3 linked regions of the Mytilus edulis genome follow. The protein of the gene in region 1 purifies or fractionates together with the protein of each later gene. This does not show direct contact. Links are inferred from orthologs where the notes say so. Each region holds a gene or a part of one and is shown in the gene's direction. Other genes may lie near its edges.

Evidence for each region. The genes of interacting proteins can lie anywhere in the genome.
Region 2: the proteins of dnaJ homolog subfamily C member 7-like (region 1) and intermembrane lipid transfer protein VPS13B-like purify together in Homo sapiens (co-immunoprecipitation; 3 studies listed by BioGRID and IntAct, counting the BioPlex papers as one, with this or other methods). This does not show direct contact. The link is inferred for Mytilus edulis from reciprocal best matches to the Homo sapiens genes DNAJC7 and VPS13B.
Region 3: the proteins of dnaJ homolog subfamily C member 7-like (region 1) and stress-induced-phosphoprotein 1-like purify together in Homo sapiens (affinity purification with mass spectrometry; 4 studies listed by BioGRID and IntAct, with this or other methods). This does not show direct contact. The link is inferred for Mytilus edulis from reciprocal best matches to the Homo sapiens genes DNAJC7 and STIP1.

Annotation. Positions count from the first base shown.
Region 1 is NC_092357.1:50,581,160-50,589,031, reverse strand, and holds the start of dnaJ homolog subfamily C member 7-like, read left to right. Parts: upstream 1-4,546; 5' UTR 4,547-4,581; coding exon 4,582-4,655; intron 4,656-7,872. Other genes in the region: putative ankyrin repeat protein RF_0381, read right to left, coding at 4,231-4,386. UniProt on the Homo sapiens protein: Acts as a co-chaperone regulating the molecular chaperones HSP70 and HSP90 in folding of steroid receptors, such as the glucocorticoid receptor and the progesterone receptor.
Region 2 is NC_092355.1:81,121,692-81,130,141, forward strand, and holds the start of intermembrane lipid transfer protein VPS13B-like, read left to right. Parts: upstream 1-5,125; 5' UTR 5,126-5,198; intron 5,199-7,202; 5' UTR 7,203-7,392; coding exon 7,393-8,311; intron 8,312-8,450. UniProt on the Homo sapiens protein: Mediates the transfer of lipids between membranes at organelle contact sites. Binds phosphatidylinositol 3-phosphate. Functions as a tethering factor in the slow endocytic recycling pathway, to assist traffic between early and recycling endosomes.
Region 3 is NC_092346.1:83,738,129-83,746,498, reverse strand, and holds the start of stress-induced-phosphoprotein 1-like, read left to right. Parts: upstream 1-5,045; 5' UTR 5,046-5,300; coding exon 5,301-5,324; intron 5,325-8,370. Other genes in the region: putative per-hexamer repeat protein 5, read right to left, coding at 1,126-1,369, 2,608-2,873. UniProt on the Homo sapiens protein: Acts as a co-chaperone for HSP90AA1. Mediates the association of the molecular chaperones HSPA8/HSC70 and HSP90.

The DNA of each region.
Region 1 (7,872 bases):
AAGGTGTTTTCATATCTTTTATCAAGCTACAATCTATATTTTATGATTCATTAGTTGAACATTTATTGAATTTTTCAACATGTCAAGGTGAAGAATCTAATTTAAAAAAAATAATTAAGCATATAATCTTCTTTTTGTGGTTTAAAGTTTCTTTAAAAAAGGTAGATGCTGAACAAATATAATATACAGATGTATTAAGCAATATCAAATTGTCACATTATTTTTTCAATACAGTCACAAAGCCTAAATTTGCAATTTCTTTAATGAAAAATGCATATTTTTTTTAAATATACCCATAACACTTCGGATTTGTGAGCAGAAGACTATACGAACTTATAACCCCATCAACAATGATCAAAGTATCATACTTTACATAAATTTTAAGAAAATCAAGCAACAACAAAAAAGACTCATTTTTGAGAAGTTACAAATGTATCTCCCCTTCCAATGTTAATTTCCATATATACAAAATGCTGATTTGGATTTTTCCTCAAGTTAGATTTTTTGGGTCCTTTTTCTGTGTATAGTTAGGGTTTTAACAAGAGGCTCTCAAGAGCCTGAATCGCTCACCTGAATTTTTTTGGTTTAATCTCTCATCAATGATTATTTTGGCTTTTCAATTTATTTAAATGTTCTTTAAATCGTCCTATTTTCTTCAAAAGCAAAAAAAAATCATTTTCTCCTATGTTCTATTTTAGCCATAGGAGCTATGTTTCTTGACATACAAGGAAATGAAATATAAAATTTATACTAGATACTCTGAAACTCTGAAACTCATTTAGCCTAAGTTTGGCTGAAATTGATACAGCAGTTTCATAAGAGAAGATTTTTTAAAGTAAGTCAACATGATGAACAAATTGTGAAAAAAGTCTTTAAAGGGCAATAACTCCTAAAGAGGTCAATTGACAATTTTGGTCAAATTGACTTATTTGTAGATCTTACATTGCTGATCATATTTGCTGTTTACAGTTTATCTTTATCTATAATAATATTCAAGATAATGACCAAAAACTGCAAAATTTCCTTAAAATTACCAATTAAGTGGCAGCAACCCAACAATTGGATGTTTGATTCATCTGAAAATTTCAGGGCTAATAGATATTGACCTAATGAACATTTTTACTCCCTGTCAGATTTGCTCTTAATGCTTTCGTTTTTGAGATATAAGCCAAAAACTGCATTTGACCCCTATGTTTTATTTTAAGTAACGGCGGCCATGTTTTTTGACGGATCAAAAATCAAAGCACACACTTTGTGCAGGATAATCTAAGGAACAACCATGCTAAGTTTTAACCAAATCCATTCAGTAGTTTCAGAGGAGAAGATTTTTTAAAGTTAGCAAATATGATGAACAAATTGTGAAAAATTGTCATTAAAGGACAATAACCCCTTAAGGGGTCAATTGACAATTTTGGTCATATTAACTTATTTGTAGATCTTACTTTGCTGTTTACAGTTTATCTTTATCTATAATAATATTCAAGATAATGACCAAAAACTGCAAAATTTCCTTAAAATTACCAATTAAGTGGCAGCAACCCAACAATTGGATGTTTGATTCATCTGAAAATTTCAGGGCTAATAGATATTGACCTAATGAACATTTTTACTCCATGTTAGATTTGCTCTTAATGCTTTCGTTTTTGAGATATAAGCCAAAAACTGCATTTGACCCCTATGTTCTATTTTAAGTAACGGCGGCCATGTTTTTTGACGGATCAAAAATCAAAGCACACACTTTGTGCAGGATAATCTAAGGAACAACCATGCTAAGTTTTAACCAAATCCATTCAGTAGTTTCAGAGGAGAAGATTTTTTAAAGTTAGCAAATATGATAAACAAATTGTGAAAAATTGTCATGAAAGGACAATAACCCCTTAAGGGGTCAATTGACAATTTTGGTCATATGAACTTATTTGTAGATCTTACTTTGCTGATCTTTTTTGCTGTTTACAGTTTATCTTTATCTATAATAATATTCAAGATAATGACCAAAAACTGCAAAATTTCCTTAAAATTACCAATTAAGGGCAGCAACCCAACAATTGGATGTTTGATTCATCTGAAAATTTCAGGGCTGATAGATATTGACCTAATGAACATTTTTACTCCCTGTCAGATTTGCTCTTAATGCTTTCGTTTTTTAGGATATAAGCCAAAAACTGCATTTGACCCCTATATTCTATTTTAAGTAACGGCGGCCATGTTTTTTGACGGATCAAAAAATCGAAGCGCACATTTTGTGCAGGATATACTAAGGAACAATCATGTTAAGTTTCATTCAAATCCATTCAGTAGTTTCAGAGGAGAAGATGTTTGAAAAATTGTTAACGACGACGACGACGGACGCCAAGTGATGAGAAAAGCTCACATGGCCTTTTAGGCCAGGTGAACTAATAATGCTATAGATTAGAACTAAAACATTTTCTTCTGCATATAGTTTAAGAGTAAAACATAGTTTGACTGAACTATGAGAGAAGTTATTTATCTTGTCGGAAGCAAGTTAACTCGTACCAACGGAAACTCGTACCATGTTAACTCGTACCAAAAAAGTTAACTCGTACCAACGTAAAGTCGTACCACTGGGAAGTCGTACCATTAAAAATATATTAAAAAATACGAATCTTTTGTGGTGTTTCTTCTTTCTAAAATTAATAAAAAAAGTTGAATTACTGTAATTTTATACTGGATTTTAATGCCCTGCTAATTAAAATATATGATATTCCTTTGATTGTGTGATCAAATTAATACAGTCCTTTGATTATGTGATTATAGTGAACATGGACTATTAGTGCGACCATTAGTGCTTCTTGAATGTTTATTTTTCTATATGTAACAATAGTGCCAGTTATCTTTGAAAACATTATTGTATTAATGTAATACCATGTGAAATCTTAAATGTAAAAGGATGATATAGATGTGAATAAAACATAAGGTGTATGTGTATCTCTTGAGAGAAAAAAATAATAATATTTGATGTTTTGTTAATTTTTTATAGATGATTGTTATTGAAATTGTGGTAAATAAAGCATCAAAATAAAATATATATTCTTTGTTATTCTGCCAGTACTACCATTAAGCCTACTGGCCATTCACAATACCATTATTCACAATATAGATGGACAGTCAAACTCATAACTCGTAAATAGAAATAAACTTAAAATATTATGCTGCCAAGTTGCCAACACTACCATTACGTCTACTGGCTATTCACAATACCATTAGAACCATGGATGGACAGTCAAACTCATAAAAAGAAATAAACGCCATGGCTAATAAATAATAGCACACAAGACCGTGACACCATAGCAAACGAAAGACTAATCTGAGGATGATTTCAGGTATCATTTACTTTCCTCTGAAGGTGTCACTACTCTTTATCAAAGCAATGCATATCTCACACATTAAATGAACATGACATTACTTCAAATCTTAAAAGAAGTTGTCATATTTTGATAACATTAAATACATAGAAGTAATTAACGACCTTGACTGGCTAAGCAACCCTACCACTATCGGTAATCATTATCTTGTGCAAAATATTATATATAAAAAAATTCATACTTTTAACATGTTGGTCATAAACAATTTACAACCTTTAAAGCACACTAAATTAATTCTTTCGGTGAATAAAATTCCTTTGAGAAACAAAAGAAAAGTATCCAAATCTATTCAATGTAACTGATTTGGAATGATTAAAAATTAAATCCAATGGTTATCAGTATAAGTTTAAAAAAGAATGATTCAAGGGAGACATCAAATCAAATCTGCCAAGGTATTGTCTATATCTAATACACATGGAACATTAGCTACAGATAGGTCATTGTACTTTCAAATTATATACATTTTACAGACTTTATTCATAATTAAACACCAATCAAATGCATTTTAAAATAAGTTGGTACGAGTTAGCAGTGGTACGAGTTTACATTGGTACGAGGTTTATTTTAGTGGTACGAGTTGACGTTGGTACGAGTTTACTTTGGTACGGGTTAACTATAATTCATCTTGTCAAAACTCTAATTACATTTTTTTTGTAATATTTAGTCTGAGCTGGTCATTATATCTTTAATGGTCCGAGTTTTCTTTTCATGTAGACTCCAGGCCGACTTGTCGCACAACTTCTGAGTGAGTTGCACCAATCGTAAAATTATACTAGGTAGTACATGTAAGTAACAGAGTAAAGTATTGAATTTTATTTGAAAAGACTGAAAGTTTGAGGAGCGTTACCCAGAGTTTTTGCTGTCGAATAGCAAGAACGCCTCCCTTCACTAGCCTTCTTACAGCTGTTTCGTCACCGTCTTTTACTGCGCGTTTCAATTTATCTTCATCTTCCTGTTTTTCTTTGTAAGAATCGTTATCGTGAAATTTACGTTTTCTCTGCATTTTTTTCCCTCGCTGTATATTTAGATTATAACTGACATATCAAATCTCACCTGTATAAAAACACTTGACTGAGGTAGTCACAGAAGCTCGTTCCCTGTATTGAATCAGCCTTTCTTGCTACCTAATACAGACGGGAATACAAACAAATAAAAAGTAACCAGTTTGTTCACAAATCTCACGAGACCAACAACAATCATGACGGACGTGGATACGATGGAAGTTGACCCTCAACCAACTGAAGACGAAGTAGTTGATTTAACAGAAGATAGGTATAAAAAATTGACTATACACGTGTTAAGAAATAATTTTTTATTTGATTCTTTCAATTAGGTTAGCAACAACTTGTCTTATCTCAGATATTTTGACGGTGTTCCCCAAAAATGTCGGAGCGTGTTTTCCGAAAAAGCCCTTTCGTTTATGGTGAATTGGATATATTTCTTCCTTTTTACAATGTAAAGTATATTTAAACCTATATAATGTTCAATTATTTAGCATGTGTTAAGTACTTCATTCAAAGATTATAAATAAATGCTAGAATTAAAGAACTTGCTTCGCTTTTCCAGAAACAAATGACGTCATGGAACACCGGGAATCCCCAAATAGAACTTTCTGGAAATCTTTAATTTATTTTTAGACTACTACGTTAAAAGGGGGAGGTTGGACTGTTGGTGTTGGAAAAAATGGGGAAAATGATTGGGTTTATCAAATGCCAATTTAAATAAACTATTTATTGTTTATTCTTATTGATTTTAGTTACAAAAAGTTTTTTTACTACAATACAAAACCTGTCCCGCTTGACCTGAAGCCCCACTAGAATTTTTGATGTCCTAACAACAATAACTTTTCCATTGTGGCATCAGATATTTTCTAGTATGACGTAAAATTTTCAAGAACTTTTGTGATGTCCAGTATTGGCAGTAACGGTGGACAAATATCAGTGCCATTTGTATGCTATACACATTATCGCTAATCCTGGCTGACCCGGTCGCTTGAACTTTTGACGCATACAACAATCACTTTTCCATTGGGGCTTCAGATATTTTGTTTTATGACGTCAAAATTTTACGGGAACCTTTGTGATATCCAGTAACGGCGGACAAATAGCAATACATTCTGGACATTACACAGGTTCCGGTAAAATTTTGACGTCATACTACACAATATCTGACGCCACAATGGAAAAGTGATTATTGTATGACATCAATAGTTCAAGATGGACAGATTCTCAGGTGAGCCAGAAATAATGATAAGGTGTATTAATAATGCATGAGCTATTTGGCACTGGATGTTATGTCTCCTGTTTGTGTGTCTGAAGTGATGCTCGAAACCTAAAAATTTATTAAAAAACTTGATAAACAGTTTATGATTTGAAGAGATTTTAGAACATGTTGAATATCAGAACTGTTGAAAATTTGCTGAAAGCCCTCTGTCAGATTATTAAGAAAGGCAGTGTTCTAGCTACAAAGTTTGAACAGGGCGCAGCGCCCACCCTTTTTTATTGACGCCCTTGCCTTTTTTCTGTCATTCCTCGAGCGCCCTGTCGTTTTTATCACCAAAAAATCAGCATTTTCCTGCCTTTAAAATACCGGTAACTTCGTAATTGTTCCATGAACAGGAAGTTCAGCTACCTGTGTAAGCTGTCAAATTAAGTGACCCATTAAGTGTATGGCTTTACCTGACGGCTTTGGTGTCAAACACATTGTTTAATTAACACCAATTACCTTAGCTTTTGGTCATGAATAATTGGTGTATTTCAAAAAAGTTTGACAAACAATTTGATTTATTTATTTATTTATCACCTGTTCACAATATATTATTTAAATTTATGTTTCTTTAAGTAAAAGATTAAATATTAAACAAATTGAATGCAAATGCATATAATTAGAATAATAATTTAAATTATTTTCAATTGAATACACTTTAAAAATAAATATTTTGAAAATTATATTTTGCATCTTTACTTCCATTAATTGATCTATCAAGTGCAGTCTTCACGGTTAGTCACTAGTCCAATGCCCCAGACTAGTAAAATTTCATTCAGACTAGTAAGTTTTTGCAAAACTTTGTTTGGACCAATAAGAAAAATGTCGAAACATTGGTCTTTGGACTAGTAGTTGAAAAAGTTTATGGTGCAGACTGCAAGTGCAATGAAGAATTTTAATTTCATAAATTAAAAACCTACCTGACATATTTCTGTTAGGATTATCTCTGACATATGTCAGGTAGGTATAATTTATTTATAAAATTTTAACTTGTTTACAAATTTTTAAATTTTAATTTCATAAATTAAAAACCTACCTGACTGTCAGATGTCAGAGATAATCCTAACGGACATATGTCAGGTAGGGATAATTTATTCATAAAATTTTAACTTGTTTACAAATTTTTGAATTCCAAATAAGAAAATCATTTAATGGTCAGACTGCTGTAGTGACAGCAACAACAAGACAAGATAGAAAACAACAAGACAGCATACTATACATTATATGGCCGAAAGAGGGTCTGAACATCATAACCGTACGTTAATAAAGTCTACTAAAAAGAAAATTGTGCCAAAAGAATTAAATTACACAACTCCATTTTAACTGAAACTTGATGTTTCAATAATGCATAATAAAAATTATGTGCTAATTAATTATGAGGCTTAAATAATTCCCTTTTTTCAATGATATAAATTTACGCGTAAAATTGCCCTTTTTAACCGGATTTTTGTGACAAAAATGTCGGTTATTGATTTGGGGATGTACGGCGGGCGGGCGGTCGGGCGGGCGGTCGGTCGGGCGGGCGGGTGGGAATCAAATGTTGTCCGTGCATTAACTCATGAACCGTTCAACCAAAGCTTTTAAAATTTTAATATGTTGTTACTGACAACTAAATGAAGGTCAAGTTCAATAATGGTGATTTTGACTTTTACCGTTCAGGAGTTATGGTTCTTGAAAGATTGAAAAATGGAGTTTCCAGTCGTGTCCCTGCATTTACGCATGAACTGTTCTTCCTAAGCTTTCCAAATTTTAATATGTTGTTACTGATGACAAAATGGAGATCAAGTCCAATAATGGCGATTTTGACTTTTACCGTTCAGGAGTTATGGTTCTTGAAAGATTGAAAAATGGAGTTTCCAGTCGTGTCTGTGCATTTACGCATGAACTGTTCTACCTAAGCTTCCCAAATTTTAATATGTTGTTACTGATGACAAAATGGAGGTCAAGTTTAATAATGACGATTTTGACTTTTACCGTTCAGGAGTTATGGTTCTTGAAAGATTGAAAAATGGTGTTTCCAGTCGTGTTCGTGCATTTACGCATGAACTGTTTTACCAAAGCTTCCCAAATTTTAATATGTTGTTACTGATGACAAAATAGAGGTCAAGTTCAATAATGACGATTTTGACTTTTACCGTTCAGGAGTTATGGTTCTTGAAAGATTGAAAAATGGTGTTTCCAGTCGTGTCCGTGCATTTTCTCATGAACCATTCAACCAAAGCTT
Region 2 (8,450 bases), on another chromosome or scaffold:
TAGAAACTCGATCTAAAAATCCCATTGCCGTGTACACATAGAAACTCTAAAAATCCCATTGCCGTGTACACATAGAAACTCTAAAAATCCCATTGCCGTGTACACATAGAAACTCTAAATCCCCATTGCCGTGTACACATAGAAACTCTAAAAATCCCATTGGAGTCAACACATCGAAACTATATAAATAAAACTGCAGTACTTAGTCTGTCTAGTGAATAATCGGAAAATTAAAAAAAACATTGAAACCTTTAAAACCACACTGCAATGTACGCATGGCAACCGTTCAAATCCCACTGTAGTGTACACATGAAAAACATAAAAATCCCAATGCATTCTACAAATAGAAATCCTAAAAATCCCACTGCAGTCCACATGGAAACTCATTAAATCATACTTAGTTTACACATGGTGACCCCAAAACCGAATGCCATGTACGCATGGAAAATTTAAAAATTCAACTGCAGTGTACACATAGAAAATTAAAAAAAATCACACTTAAAAAGGCTCTGCAGTGTACACATGGAAATCCTAAAAATCCTAATGTATTGTTCACATGGAAACTCTAAACATACCAGCAAAGCAGTGTACTCATGGAAACCCTCAAACCCAAAGTTTAGTAGTTTAAGGAACTAACATTTAACTTCAAGGGGTTTTGGGATGTGGTTTTTGATTCCTATAAAAACATTCCAATGCCCAAATTGATGAAAAAAATTTCTGAATCCAGATTTTCCCCCATAGATTATAATATTAAATTTTGCCGAACAAAATAATTTGATTGAAAGAGGTGAAAAAACAAAATAATTTCAAGTTTTTGACTAAAAATAAACCATAACCCCACTTTTAATAGTTAAATGGGTGCTCCCTTATACATGGAAACTCTTCAACATCATTGCAGTGTAATGATATGGAAACTTTAATAAAAAATCAATTTAGTGCACACAATCAATGAATAATGATGTATTGAAATTCGAAAAATAACCTGCAGTATACACATGGAATGATTTAAAAAAGCCCATAAAAAACATGCATTGAAACTCTAAAATTTCCACTGAAGTATACATGGCGATAGAATGATGAAACATTATGTATTGAAACTTTAAAACCCTGCTGCATTGTACACATCGAAACTCTAAAGCACTAACGAAGTGTTCACATTGAAACTATAAAACCCCACTGCAGTTTACAAATCGAAGGCATGAATAAAAATGTATGAAAGCTCCAAACCCTACACTGCAGTGTAAACATGTATGATAGATAACTGAATATGTCAATTATATTCATGCAAAAAATTGAAATGTAATTCAGAGACCAGATTGATCTTGCAGACACACTAGTTACACTCCACCAAAAATTGAAGCCGATCTCGCGATTTCTAGAAGTTAGAACGGGAATAGAATGAAATTCATAGAATAGAACATACTAAACTAGAATAGACTAGACTAAAATAGAATAGAGTATAATGTGGAAAAGACTAGATTGAAATATTATAGAATAGAATACGGATATAAAACATACACAAAATTAACATTCCCGTTACTATTCTCCTTCTCAATTTTATATAGACATGCTAAGTAAGAAAGCTTTATTGTAATGTATGCAAAATGTTTATACATAAAAGCATAGAACAAATAAGCAAAGCACTAAACTAGAAGTTACGTGATCTTACATGCCAAGCAGACGAAATACGAATTTAAAGAAATCGGTCCTACTAAAACGCGCCCGATAGCGCCCGGGAAAAGAAAATGCGCCCGGGGGGGGGGGGGGAGAGAAAAAGCGCCTGGGGAAGGAAAATTAGCGCCCGGGAGAATAAAATGATAATATTTTATAACAAATAAAAAAAATAATCATTCACTTGTTTTGTAAATAATCAGTGTCTGATGTCTAATATTTTCGCAACTGCATGGTGAACACTTTTTTTATGCAAATGTTGATCTAGATTTATCTTTTTATAAAACTAAAACTGTTTCCGAATGGCTATGCTTATTAGGATTTTAATGCTATAGTTTTTTAAAATTTAAACCAAAGCTCCTGCTTTTTACCCCTTGATTTAACTACGGTACATGTATAGTACTGCTTTATTTGCTGATTCATTATGTGTAACTCTTTTAATTTTGATTAAATTAATATTTATCTTTGAAATTTAAGTTGTTTTTTACATTTTTCATTTTGATATCGTTTTTCAGAAACGTGTCTTTTGAAGTTACTGTGACGAAAAAGTGTTTAAGTATGGGGACTTAAACTAAAGTGTGTATTCTTGTGTTTGTGCTTTGTTGTTTGGTGTCTACGTTTCACACGTCCACAGACGACAAATGCCAAGTATACTCTTTAACAGTGTAACCCTAAAAAATCTCTGGTAGCGTGATTAAGGGAATCCTGGTCACATAAATAAATAAATGGATCCTGGTGTAGTCTGAACGAAGTCTTGCAAGTTAACATAAACACAAAGTCGATTAAAGTTCAATACTGTATTATTCAAAATCCAAAGTACATGTAACAGTAATACAAGTTTACAACATCTAAACTGCAGGCTCAACAATACGGTGGTATAATCCTAAATCTCCTACATATGCACCTCTCGTACACAAAATCGTCTCTCCTCGTATATCGTATCTCGTATCTACAACTATTTCTCTCTTTTATACTACTCTAATAACCTGATTACAATATGGTTAAATGACTCTGAACAAAGAAATATTCTACAGGAGCTAAATTACAGGAGCCCGGAGCCCGGAGCCCGGAGCCCGGAGCCCGGAGCCCGGAGCTAAGGTCAATCGAAACTGAGGTCAACTGAGACACCTGCATCAACTTAGCAAAGGGGCACCAGCTGATTAACATGATTGATTTGACATTTAACAAGTACAATCTGATTGAAGGCGATACACATAGATTGTAACATGTGTAAGGAATTACTTTATAACAGTTAATTAGAATAAGTAATCTAATTATACCATGATAATAAAACCCAATGATGCATGTAATAAACGAAAAACGTTACATTACATTTTATAAATCTTCCGCATAAACTGTGATCCATTATTATCTGTCTTTCGAAATAGTATTCATATATTCAGTATTGTTAAAATTGAAACATTCATAATTGTTTTTGTGCTTTACTACAAATGTCTATTATCTGAAATTGCAAATTACTTGTCTAAAATTAAAAACAAATCAATGTGCATAACTTATTTCATCGACACAAACATGACAAAGTTGTCTCATTCCAATAAAATATTTATATATTTTCCCCGGGTGCCTTTTCTTTTCCCCTGGCACTATTTTGTCTTCCCCGGGCGCTTTTTCTTTTCCTCGGGCGCTTTTTCTTCTCCCGGGCGCTCCCGGGCGCATTTTAGTAGGACCCAAAGAAATATGTGTTTTAAACTTAAGTTTCATCAGATCATTCAAAATAGGCACTGGCTACGGTTACATGGAAATGTAACAATAATAAAAATATTATTGTTACATTGGAGACTAATTGCCGGAATGCAAAGTTGGGTGAGGAACCGATTAATTACAAATGTAACAATAATTACTGAGGCTACGGTTACATTACGTTATTGTTACATGAAAAACAGCAATGTACGCTAGATTGATTAAACTTAAATCTTCTATAGTTGTATTGCTTCATTCTTTCATATGTACGTAATTTAATACTGATAAATAATAAAATATTATTATTCAACAAATGGTGTACAACTTGAATAGTTTTACTACGTATTAATGGTTTTGATGTTCTTAAAGATACTACTCAAAATTAGGAGTGTGACTGTCAAAGGCGAAAAATATAGTTCAACGGTTTCACTTTTTTAAAGTATTTAACTGCACACCTACTCTTATTACTGTCATTATACTTTGGACCAATTTTGTGTATGGTGAAAAAAAATAAAACTTGGGATGCGTTTTAAACGAAACTGAAACAATATCAAGACATCCTTTTCATACAGCTTTATAACTTGACGCAAATTGGTAATCAAAAGCAAAGTTTGCTAACTGTAACTTAAATACTAAGAAATTATGTATGCACACGTATCCGTGGAGGACGTAATTTCGTTCATCAAAAATGTACGTAATTTAATACTGATTAATAATAAAATATTATTATTCAACAAATGGTGTACAACTTGAATAGTTGTCGGACTTTAAATACAACTTACTGGATTTGTAGAAATGTGTCGGACTTTAAATACAACTTACTGGATTTGTAGAAATGTGTCGGACTTTAAATACAACTTACTGGATTTGTATAAATAATTAATTGTCATTGTAAATAAAAAAAAATTACAGTAAATAAATTGTATGTTATAAAGGTATGTAATAAATGTCCTCAACTTTTATTATTTAGTATATATTACTAGTCCCATCGTACATTGATTTTTTTCATGTAACAATAACGCAATGTAACCGTAGCCTCAATAATTATTGTTACATTCGTAATTAAACAGGTCCTTACCCAACCATGCATTCCGGCATTTAGTCTCCAATGTAACAATAATATTTTTATTATTGTTACATTTCCATGTAACCGTAGCCAGTGCCTTCAAAATAAAGGTTCCGTCATCTGCTGCAATGAACAAATACTGAGCTTATACGTGCGCCTAATAATGAGTAATTGTCACGGTTCATTCAGTTTCATAAATTTTCAACAAAAAAAATCAACAAAAATCAGCAGGGGACCATTTACCACCTTTTCTCGATTCCCGAGTGCAGTTCTGGGAAAGTACGCAAGAATTGTCCTTCTAATTTAATTTTTGTTTGCACACCGTTGTACAGAAATGAACGATGTTTAGAATAAAGTAATCATATGATTCCAGAAAAGGTATAATTATAGTATTATATAAAATCAATGTTTATTGGAAATTAAGAATACGTTTATTTTTATATAATAATCTTGCCAAGAATAAAGAGTATTCCACTCTTAGATCTAACCTAGGGCGGACATCACGTATGTTGTTATAACTTGTGTCAAATCCCTTTTGCTACTTTAGTTTTGCAAATAAAATATATATTTAAACTCACCCTAACGTTCGACTGGTCCACATTTTATAGCAAGCCAGAACTACTCGCTTCACCTTTACGCGCGCTACATCCTGTTGCGGAAATTTCGGATCTTTTCGAAGAATGTACCATTCGGAAAAGTTGTATATCGTCGAGTTGGCAGGTCGTCTGTAAATATACAGTTTTACTTATTAACAAAAAGGGTTAGAAATTCAGAAGCTCAATTTTACTGACATGAACAATACGTCTATTTATACATATTTTTTATATTGACTAACATACCTATGATAACTGATTTAAAAGTTAAACTGCCTTCAAAAAAATATATATTTGGAGGATGTTTTTGCTTCTTTGAACTTCAAAGCAAAAACATCCTCTTCTTCTTCTTCTTCTTAAGTTACTGAATACCATCAACTTTTTAAGGATTAGTTTCCCGCTTTAATATACAAATACAATTTATCCATCTGTACAAATGTTATGTATATAATTATATATGTATGAGAAAGTTGTAGATATACAGTAAAGGTGACAGAGCCCTGATAACGCCTTGAGAGAGTAGATTGGCTAAAGTCTTAATAAGATGTTGTATGAGTGCTGATTAGTCCAAATAATTATGACGTCTTGAAAGGCTATTATAATTTTTTTCTTTGACGGGTTTAGTCGAAGTAAGGCGTCAAAGAAAAAATTATAATAGCCTTTCAAGACGTCATAATTATTTGGACTGAGTGCTGATGAGATAATTCGCTATCCAAGTCACAATCATAAGTTGAAGTACAGTCTTCAACACAGAGCCTTGGCTCACACCGAACAGCAAGCTATAAAAGGCCTTAAAAATGACTAGTGTAAAACCATTCAAACTGGAAAACCAAGTCTTATTTATAAAAAAAAAAAGCCAAGAAACACTTATTAATCACATCAACAAACAATAACCAATGTTGGTTCGTGGTCTAGTGGTTTAGACTGATGGCTACAGTGCTGAAGGTCCGAGTTCATTTCTCACTCGGGGTGCTAAAAGTTTCAGTACATTTTTTACATCAGAAGGGTATTTTTCACCCAGACCGGAGTTTAAACTAGAATGGGTACTTTAAGGCCTCGGTTGGTCAAAGTTGTCCCCTATTTTGACCTGGAGATCAATCTTCTGATATTTCTGGTTTGTCTGTTTCCACCTGAGTACTTCGGCTTCCTCCACCATAATTACAGATTAACCGGTGTCCTATCACTCCCTTTGTGTTGGGTGGTGATTGATTGTCCTTGTTAAAATAAATGTTGTATAAATAGACGTTAGTGACACATCTCCAGTAATCCTGATAGGGAGTGTACATAGATGGCACTGTATCCTTAAAGCTTTCGGTAGGGTTCTTCGGATAACAGAGACATTTACCAGTACATACATACATACAATCAACGAACACCAGGTGCCTAGTCTTAAAATTATAATACAAATGTATGTAACCTTTCAATAAAAATAAGGGAATACATTTTATTGAGGGGGAGGGGTCTTCTTAGCAAATTATTGATGAATATAAATTGTCAATCTGCAGGAAATCCCCAGAATATTAAATGATCATCTCCTATAGGTGTGTATTTTAATTTTAACACTCAAAGTCATTACACTGTAAAATCTTTTAAATTCAATAGTATATATTTCTCATTAATTGATAGTTGAAGTTAACAGGCTCCAAGTTGTCCCATATTTTATGTTGATCAGGCACCTATTATATGAAAAATATTCAAGTCTAAGCATTAAAATGTTGGATCAATAGGGATTTCAGTTATAAATATAGAAAGATATTGCAAAAGATGAGTCCAAAACAGAGATTTAAATCCCTAACTCAGAACTATTAAACGGTTGCATACATGTACATGTATGTGCAATGTCTGCAATAAGTCATATTGTTTTAAAAATATAGATTGCCATGTAATAAAACATATGAATGATAAAATATACTCCCTGTATACAAAAAAATGTGTGGACAAAAATATTATTATTACATGTATGTGTGCCTTTCCACATCATGTCATACATGTATAGATTAGTTTTGATAAAATATCAAGGTTTGTTTGAGTAATAAAAGTATTCTGTATACTATCCTGATGCCTAGGTTGCTTTGGAAAAACTATAACAAATGTGTATTTATGAAATTCAAAATTACCATATAATTTTAAGTAAATATTAAAAAAGTGTGTTTTTTCTTTTTCTTTTGCAGATATTTTGTAAGAAAAGGACGAATGCTCCTCAACACATAATACATGAACTAAATCATTGAAAATGCTGCTTGATAGGAAGATAAGCTGTCAACACAGTTACATCAATTGTTACAGGGAATGGTGATAGAAGTCATAACCTAGGGCAAAGGTCATAGAAAATATAAATTTGTTTTGATTCTAGTTACAACAATGTTTAAGTTAGAGTCTTACATCAGCCCCCTGTTAATGGGTTATGTTGACAAGTATGTCAAACTTAGACCTGAAGATTTTCAATTGTCATTATGGGGTGGTGATGTCGTCCTCAATAATCTTGACCTTCGTTTGGATGTCATAGAAAAGGCTATTCATCTCCCTATTGTGTTCAAAAGTGGCCATATTCATGAGTTACGGATCCATGTGCCGTGGACAAAACTAGGATCTGAACCTGTTGTGATAACAATAAACACAATTGAATGTATTCTGAAATTAAGAGAAAGTCCTTATGAAGGTAGTAGCAAAGGACCAAAGTCTGACTTACGGCGGTCAAAATCAAGGCCATCATTGAAACCAAGGAAACAGGGTGAAGAAGATCTGCCACCAGGATATTTACAAAGTTTGATGAATAAAATTGCCAACAATGTTAGCATCATCATCAATAATCTAATTGTTAAGTTTGTCGAGGATGACATTGTTTTATCCTTAAACATAAAATCAGCAGAGGTATATAGCGCAGATGAGAAGTGGGACAGAGACTTTATAGAGTTATCTCCCCCTGAGTTAGTGTTAAGGAAATCCATCAACCTGTGTGATCTGACGGTGTGCCTTGATAAATGTGACCAGAGTGGTAAGATAGAACATTACCAGGATCCACTGATCTATAGGTGCTCCGTCACAGGGAGGTTGTACGCCAAATATGATTCTGTTAATGCCAAGCGGGCGAGTGTAACAAAGTTTGACCTGTTTTGTGAACATTTAGACGTATCATTGACTGATACACAACTACCAATGTTTGAGAGACTGATAGAACTATGTATGGCATTGTATTATGGTACGTTAGATCCAGCCAAGAAAGACGAGGGACATGATAGTACTAGTACTGTTTATGAAGAAGACAGCACTATAACAATGGGTAAGTTCAGACCTAAAAGACACACAAATCCTTTCTCATATTCATCTACAATTATTTATAGTCCTATTTCAAACAAAGACTATTAACTTTGATATTTACAACACATACATGTAATAACAACATAAACACAATAGATATA
Region 3 (8,370 bases), on another chromosome or scaffold:
TTGTATTAAGATAAATTACATTTTGGATTTTTTTCCCTTTTCTTTAGTAAATTGTTAGGAGAACTTAGTGGTAGGTTTGTTTGTTATTTTATGTAGTTTACTCCACGTCGATGACAAGTTATAGACTCAAGTTAGAATTCCATTCCATTACAATTTACAATGATTTTTTAACTGATAAGGGGACTATGTACAAAAGTTAATAACAAGTTCTTTGATAGTAGTAAGGGAGTTAGTTAGAAGTACAGATAGATAAGTACTAGATGCAGAGATTGAACGGAATTGAATGTGTTTTTCTTACTATTTAGTGATAGAACATCATCTACATAGGCTATAGCAGAAAGTACTGCTAACTTCTTTTCGTTCTTCATAAGAACTGAAGTTCCTGTATTAAGTCAGTCTCACACGAATAAAGGAACAAGTCGGCAAGTTCCCATGCAAATGCAGATTGTTTGTTTTTAAAAAACAAACATGTCATACAAACGTAATGAATATATTGTCATTCAAATCAAGCATCTAGATGTCAGTTTCAGACAATTGTTTGTTTGAATCAAAGTGTTTTTTTTTCAAAGTATGATTTATCCCTCCCTAAGACAAAATACTTGTATTTACGTTGGTCATACTTTTTTATGAATAAAAGCAGAACCAATACTTTCAATTTGTCTTTTAGTTTGGAATGGGGAAAACTTGTGTAAAGTGCAGAAAAGACAAATGCACTAATTCTATTGCAAAATGAAAGAGTCTTGGTACCCGGCCACTTCCACTCTGTGTTTTTGATAGATGTATCTACACTTGTATCCTTCTAATGATTTAAGCCTTTTTCAACTCATTTTTATTATTCGTTTTTGTTTTATACTGTTACACCACTGTCCCAGGTTAGGGGAGGGTTAGGATCCCGGTAACAAGTTTAAAACATCCACATTGTGTTTGTAGGTGCCTGTCCGAGGTCAGGAGCCTGTAATTCAGGGGTTGCCAATTGTTGAACAGAAGAGAAAAAAATCTGAAAAAAACATGACTTCCTCGGTCTTTTCTCGCGTTAGAGTATTTCAATTCCAAATTCAATTCCATTATCAATTCATATCTTATTCCTATTCCTTTTCCTATACCCGACCATATTCCTATTCCAATTCATTTTCCTATTAATAATCCTATTCCTATTCCTATTCCTAATCCTGATCCTGATCCTGATCCTGATCCTGATCCTGATCCTGATCCTGATCCTGATCCTGATCCTGATCCTGATCCTGATCCTGATCCTGATCCTGATCCTGATCCTGATCCTGATCCTGATCCTGATCCTGATCCTGATCCCGTGATCCTAATCCTAATCCTAATCCTATTCCTAATCTTATTCCTCTTTTTATTCCAATTCCTATTCCAATTCCAATTCATATTCAAATTCATATTCAAATGCATATTCTTAATCCTATTCATATTCCTAATGCTATTCATATTCCTAATCCTATTCCTATTATTATTCCTATTCCTGATCAGGGGCGGATCCAGCCATTTTAAAAAAGGGGGTTCCCAACCCAGGGTAAAAAGGGGGGGGGGGGTGTCCAGCTATATGCTCCCATTCAAATACATCGGCCAAAAAAAAGGGGGGTTCCAACCCCCGGACCCCCCCCCCCCCCTCTGGATCCGCGCCTGCTGATCCTATTACAATTCGAATTCATTACCTATTCAAATTCATATTCCAATTCAATTTCCTATTCTATTCCTATTCGAATTCATTTACCTATTACTTATCCTTTTCCAATTCCTAATCATACCGTATAGCGGGTTATTTTCGCGGGTGTAAAAATTCGCGATTTTCATTGAAAAATGTATTCGAAATATTTTGACGGTTATTATTTTAGCGGACTCAAATTTTTGTTATCAATATCTTAGCCTGTGCACTTTTAAATTGGCGGAATTTATTTTGGTGATTTTGGTTCTTTCCGCGAAAATAAGCGAAAATTCACACCCGCGAAAATAACCCGCTATACGGTATTCCTATTTCAATTCGAATTCATATTCATATTCTTATTGCTATTGTTATTTCAATTTTATTCCAATTGCTATTGCTATTGCTATTGCTATTGCTATTGCTATTCCAATTCCTATCCTATTCCTATTCCTATTCCTTTTCCTATTCCAATTCCAATTCCTATTCCAATTTCAATTTATATTCATGTTACTTCTCATATTCCTATTCCTAATTCCTATTCCTAGTCCTATTCCTATTCCTATTCCTATTCATAATTCCTCTTCCTATTCCTAATCCTATTCCTATTCCTACTCCTAATTCCTAATTCCTAATTCCTAATTCCTATTCCTATTCCTAATTCCTATTCCTATTACCATTCCCATTCCCATTCCCATTCCCATTCCCATTCCTATTCCTATTCCAATTCCTATTCCTATTTCAATTTATATTGCTGTTACTTCTCATATTCATATTCCTAATCCTAATCATAGTCATATTTTAATTCCTATTCCTATTCCTATTGGTATTGACATTGTCATTTGCATTGTAATTGTCATTGACATTGACATCAACATTGACTTCGAATATTGTAATCAGTTGACATCTTATTTCTATTTCGTTTCCTATTCTAATTCCTATACCTATTCCAATTCACACTCCCATTCCCATTGCTATTGCTATTGCTATTGCTATTGCTATTCCTTATTCCTATTCCTTTTCCTATTCCTATTCCTATTCCTATTCCTATTCCTATTCCTATTCCTATTCCTATTCCTATTCCTATTCCTATTCCTATTCCTATTCCAATTCTTATTTCAATTATAATTCCAATTCCAATCCCAATCCCAATTGACATTGCATTGACATTGACATTGATTGGCATCAACAGTGACGTAGACAGTGACATTGGTATTGGTGTTTTATTGATATTGGTTTTATATTGTATTGTATTTGTATTTGTATTTGTATTAATTGTATTGGTATTATATTGGTATTGGTATTGTATTGGTATTATATTGATATTGGTATTGGTATTGGTATTGGTATTGTGTATTGTATTGTATTGTATTGTATTTTATTAAATGATATGAGCAAATAAGCCCTAATACGGATAAATCAGCATGTGCAATACTAAAAACGTTCCACTGTCGATATAAATCAAGAGTTAATATTGCTCTTCGAACAGGGCCAATACGGAAAAAAACAGGGCCAATACAGAAAAAAGCGGGAAAAAAGTCGTATTAGCCCTAGGGCTAATACAGGACGTTCACTTCCGGTTTTCAATTTTCTTACGCCATTACTTTACTCTTGAAGTATCGTTATGCATAAAAACATTTGTATAATATTTTTTAAATTAAAGTAATAAAATAAACAGGTTAAATGATGTGCAATGTTTTGTAATGTCTTAATGTTTTCAAACGGAAAAAACAGGGCAATTACAGAAAAAAGCGGGAAAAAAGCTGTATTGGCCCATGGGCTAATACGGGACGTTCACTTCCGGTTTTTAATTCTCTTATAATCATTTAATAAAGGCACTGGCTACGGTTACATGGAAATGTAACAATAATAAAAATATTATTGTTACATTGGAGACTAAATGCCGGAATGCATGGTTGGGTAAGGACCTGTTTAATTACGAATGTAACAATAATTATTGAGGCTACGGTTACATTGCGTTATTGTTACATGAAAAAAAGCAAAGTACGATGGGACTAGTAATATGTACTAAATAATAAAAGTTGAGGACATTTATTACATACATTTATAACATACAATTTATTTACTGTAATTTTTTATTTACAATGACAATTTCTACAAATCCAGTAAGTTGTTTTTAAAGTCCGACACATTTTTGATGACCGAAATTACGTCCTCCACGGATACGTGTACATACATAATTTCTTAGTATTTTTTTTAAGTTACAGTAAGCAAACTTTGCTTTTGATTATCAATTTGCGTCAAGTTATAAAGCTGTATGAAATGTATGTCCTGATATTGTTTCAGTTTCGTTTAAAACGCATCCTAACTTTTATTTTTTTCACCATAAACAAAATTGGTCCAAAGTATAATGACAGTAATAAGAGTAGGTGTGCAGTTAAATACTTCAAAAAAGTGAAACCATTGAACTATATTTTTCGCCTTTGACAGTCACACTCCTAATTTTGAGCAGTATCTTTAAGAACATCAAAACCATTAATATGTAGTAAAACTATTCAAGTTGTACACCATTTGTTGAAAAATAATATTTTATTGTTTATCAGTATTAAATTACTAGTATTGTTTAGTACATATGAAAGAATGAAGCAATACAACTATAGAAGATTTAAGTTTAATCAATCTAGCGTACATTGCTGTTTCATGTAACAATAACGTAATGTAACCGTAGCCTCAGTAATTATTGTTACATTTGTAATTAATCGGTTCCTCACCCAACTTTGCATTCCGGCAATTAGTCTCCAATGTAACAATAATATTTTTATTATTGTTACATTTCCATGTAACCGTAGCCAGTGCCTTTAATAAAAGTGTTATGAACTGGCTGTTTCTGTATTGGCACTGGTATAGATTCTCGGTCAGCTGTATTGGCCCTCGACCCTACGGGGTCGAGGGCCAATACAGCTGACCGAGAATCTATACCAGTGCCAATACAGAAACAGCCAGTTAATAACACTATAGTATTGTATTGTATTGTATTGTATTGTATTGTATTGTATTGTATTGTTTATTGTTCTATGATTTCATTAGGGAGCTACCATTTGATTTTTATTGGGGGGCTATGAAATTTGAAAAAAAATAGGCAGGACAGTAGTTTTGAGTAAAAAAAAAAGGCAGGATGAGACACTTGCAAAAAAAAAAAGTCAGGACGACAATTTAGGTAAAAAAAAGTCAGAATAAACTAAAAAAAAAAAGGCAGGACCGAACAGAGTGAAAAATAAAAAGGCAGGACAGAGATTACAGCTAAAAAAAAATGCAGGACAAAATTTTTCATCCTAGCCCCCCCATAAAAATCAAATGGTAGCTCCCTTAGTTCAAGAGGTGTATGTAATATGCGCATTTAAATGATCTATTTTAATTTTTTATGCGCATATCACAGATTAAAGCTGCAAGTCGTTTTTATTGACGAAAACTACCAAGGCGTTCCGGAATATCAAAGGGAGGTAAATATACTGGTCACTGTTCCTTCTTCTCGGTACGAAGAAATTTCTTTTTCAGGGAATCAGTCGACAAAAACTAATGGATAATGCTAAGTGAGTTCCGATAAGTACGAATGACTCTAGAAAATTCGGTTTCAATAATTGAGAAAACATAGGAAAACGCTGTAGCCTGTAGGAATATGTCATCCGAAAATCAGAAAAAGGTAAGATTAGGTTGAAGAGACAACCAGTTGTATGCCATGAGTATGGTTAACCACAACGAATTCTGTTGAATTTGTCTGCACGTGTTTTACACTAACTGGAAAACCGGCACCTAGCACACATATCAATGAAAAAAAAAGTAAATACAAACTTTTAACTGCAAGCTCACGTGGAAATGCCACCATGATTTAACATGATACCATGGAGTCGCACTTCATGTAAACCTATCAGTATCAGAGTAACCCAAATAGGTTTATAATATATATATATATTTCAAGTTGTTCCAGCTTAAAGTCGATCAGATTGTTATTAACCTTATTATAACTCATTTTGGTGAATGATACAAATCTGTTTATTACCTCCCTCAACTTGCAAAGAAATTTTTCTGTTTCCGCTGAGTGTCGCAGTGGTTCTCTCCTAGTTCTCGGCTTCCTCTACCATAATAACAGACTTCCCAATGTCCTAGCACTCCCTAAAAGTTGTATTGGAGTGGGGGTTGTCCTTGTAAATATTGTTGTGACACATATCAATTAATGCTGAAAGTGATAGGGAGTTTACATGGATTCTGAAAACGGAGGATTCTACCAGTACATAGTTATACACTTGATCACGATTTTTTTTGTAAACAACCTTCATTTGATAAGGACCACAGGCCTCGACAATAACGCTTGTCTGATTGTCTGGTACCAGAGGTAAAAAAGGTCGGACAGGTAAAAGCTATACCAAGCTTGTCCGATGGGACAAGTAGAATCATTCTGCAGAAAATAAATTTTAATCCAACTTTGATGAACAAAGTATAATTATTAACAAAAAAACAAGAAAAGAAGATTTGTTTGACATCTTTCCTTTTTAAACTGAAACTAATTGAAACTTTTTATTTCTTAGTCGAATAATAAAATTAGACCCCTCAGACTTGCAATCGATAATTTAAACTGGTTCTTTGTCAAGTACTTTTAACAGGTAAAAAGCACACTTTTCTCGGAAACCAGTCTTACAGATCCAATTCAACCATGGGCATTTTAGATAAGGTAACTTTAAAAGACAGTTCGTCAACAGCTCGGAAATGATTCGGCTCCAAGTTTAATAGACAGTTGGGCACTGTAGGAGACATATTTCATAAACATGATTAATAGACAGTTTGGCAAGGCAGTAGACATTTCTGGACCAAGACAAATCAGAACTTCTTTTCCTACCTTATTTTGTTGCTCTATAATAATTAATACCGATGTCCATAACGTATTTTTTAAATAAGAATGAGGAAATTATTTACCATAAAAATCATCAAATCATGTTTGATCTTTATGTAGAAAAAACAATACCAATGCAATGCAGTGACCTATAAGTGTTAATTTCTGTGTCATTTGGTCTTGTGTCAAATTGACAATCATGCCTCATATTCTTTTTATTGATTGCATTTGAATAAACTTTTTTCAACTTTTAAAAAAATGGATAAAAATCCAATGAGTGTACATTTAGAGGCCAATCAGATGGTGCCTCATGTGCAAAGTATGATGAGACTTTAGCATTGATAAAAACTAGAACCTAAGTCCTGTGACACAACTCAATTCAGTTGTTCATGGCTCATATCTTTTAAAAGTATTTCAAAGGATATAAATCAAATTCTGTTCAATTTTTTTGTAATTCATTTTGTTCCTTGAATCAACTTGAAATGCAAAAAAGGTTAATATTAAGATTTGTTTTGGACAAGTTACAAGTAAGTTTTGGAATGTACTTGTCCTACTGGACAAGTTGAAAAAAAAGTTATTGTAGAGGCCTGGACCATAAAGTCAAGTGTATAGTTATCTACTGAATAGTGTTGCAGATCCCCTCAATAGGTACTATACAAGCTAAATGTCTTTTTTTTTTTTTTCTTTCTTAAATCCATCTTTAAATTAAATCATAAAATGCATTGAAGATCATTCCAAGAAAAGTATATATGTGTTTTTAGCTCACCTGGCCTAAAAGGCCAAGTGAGCTTTTCTCATCACTTGGCGTCCGGCGTCCGGCGTCGTCGTTAACTTTTACAAAAATCTTCTCCTCTGAAACTACTGGCCCAAATTAAACCAAACTTGGCCACAATCATCATTGGGGTATCTAGTTTAAAAAATGTGTCCGGTGACCCGACCAACCATCCAAGATGGCCGCCATGGCTAAAAATAGAACATAGGGGTAAAATGCAGTTTTTGGCTTATAACTCAAAAACCAAAGTATTTAGAGCAAATCTGACATGGAATAGAATTGTTAAACAGGTGAAGATCTATCTGCCCTGAAATTTTCAGATGAATCGGATAACCCGTTGTTGGGTTGCTGCCCCTGAATTAGTAATTTTAAGGAAATTTTGTTGTTTTTGGTTATTATCTTGAATATTATTATAGATAGAGATAAACAGTAAACAGCAATAATGTTCAGCAAAGTAAGATTTACAAATAAGTCAACATGACTGAAATGGTCAGTTGACCCCTTTAGGAGTTATTGCCCTTTATAGTCAATTTTTAACTATTTTTCGTAAATCTTAGTAATATTTTACAAAAATCTTCTCCTCTGAAACTACTGGGCTAAATTAATCCAAACTTGGCCACAATCATCTTTTGGGTTAGTAGTTTGAAAAATGTGTCCAGTGACCCGGCCATCAAACCAAGATGGCCACCATGGCTAAAAATAGAACATGGGGTAAAATGCAGTTTTTGGCTTATAACTCAAAACCCAAAGCATTTGGAGCAAATCTGACATGGGGTAAAATTGTTTATCAGGTCAACATTTATCTGCTATGAAATTTTTAGATGAATCGGACAACCCGTTGTTGGGTTGCTGACCCTGAATTGTTAGTTTTAAGGAAAATTTTGCTGTTTTTGGTCATTATCTTGAATATTATTATCGATAGAGATAAACTGTAAACAACAATAATGTTCAGCAAAGTAAGATTTACAAATAAGTCAACATGACCGAAATGGTCAATTGACCCCCTTAGGAGTTATTGTTCTTTATAGTCAATTTTTAACAATTTTCATAAAATTTGTAAATTTTTACTAACATTTTCCACTGAAACTA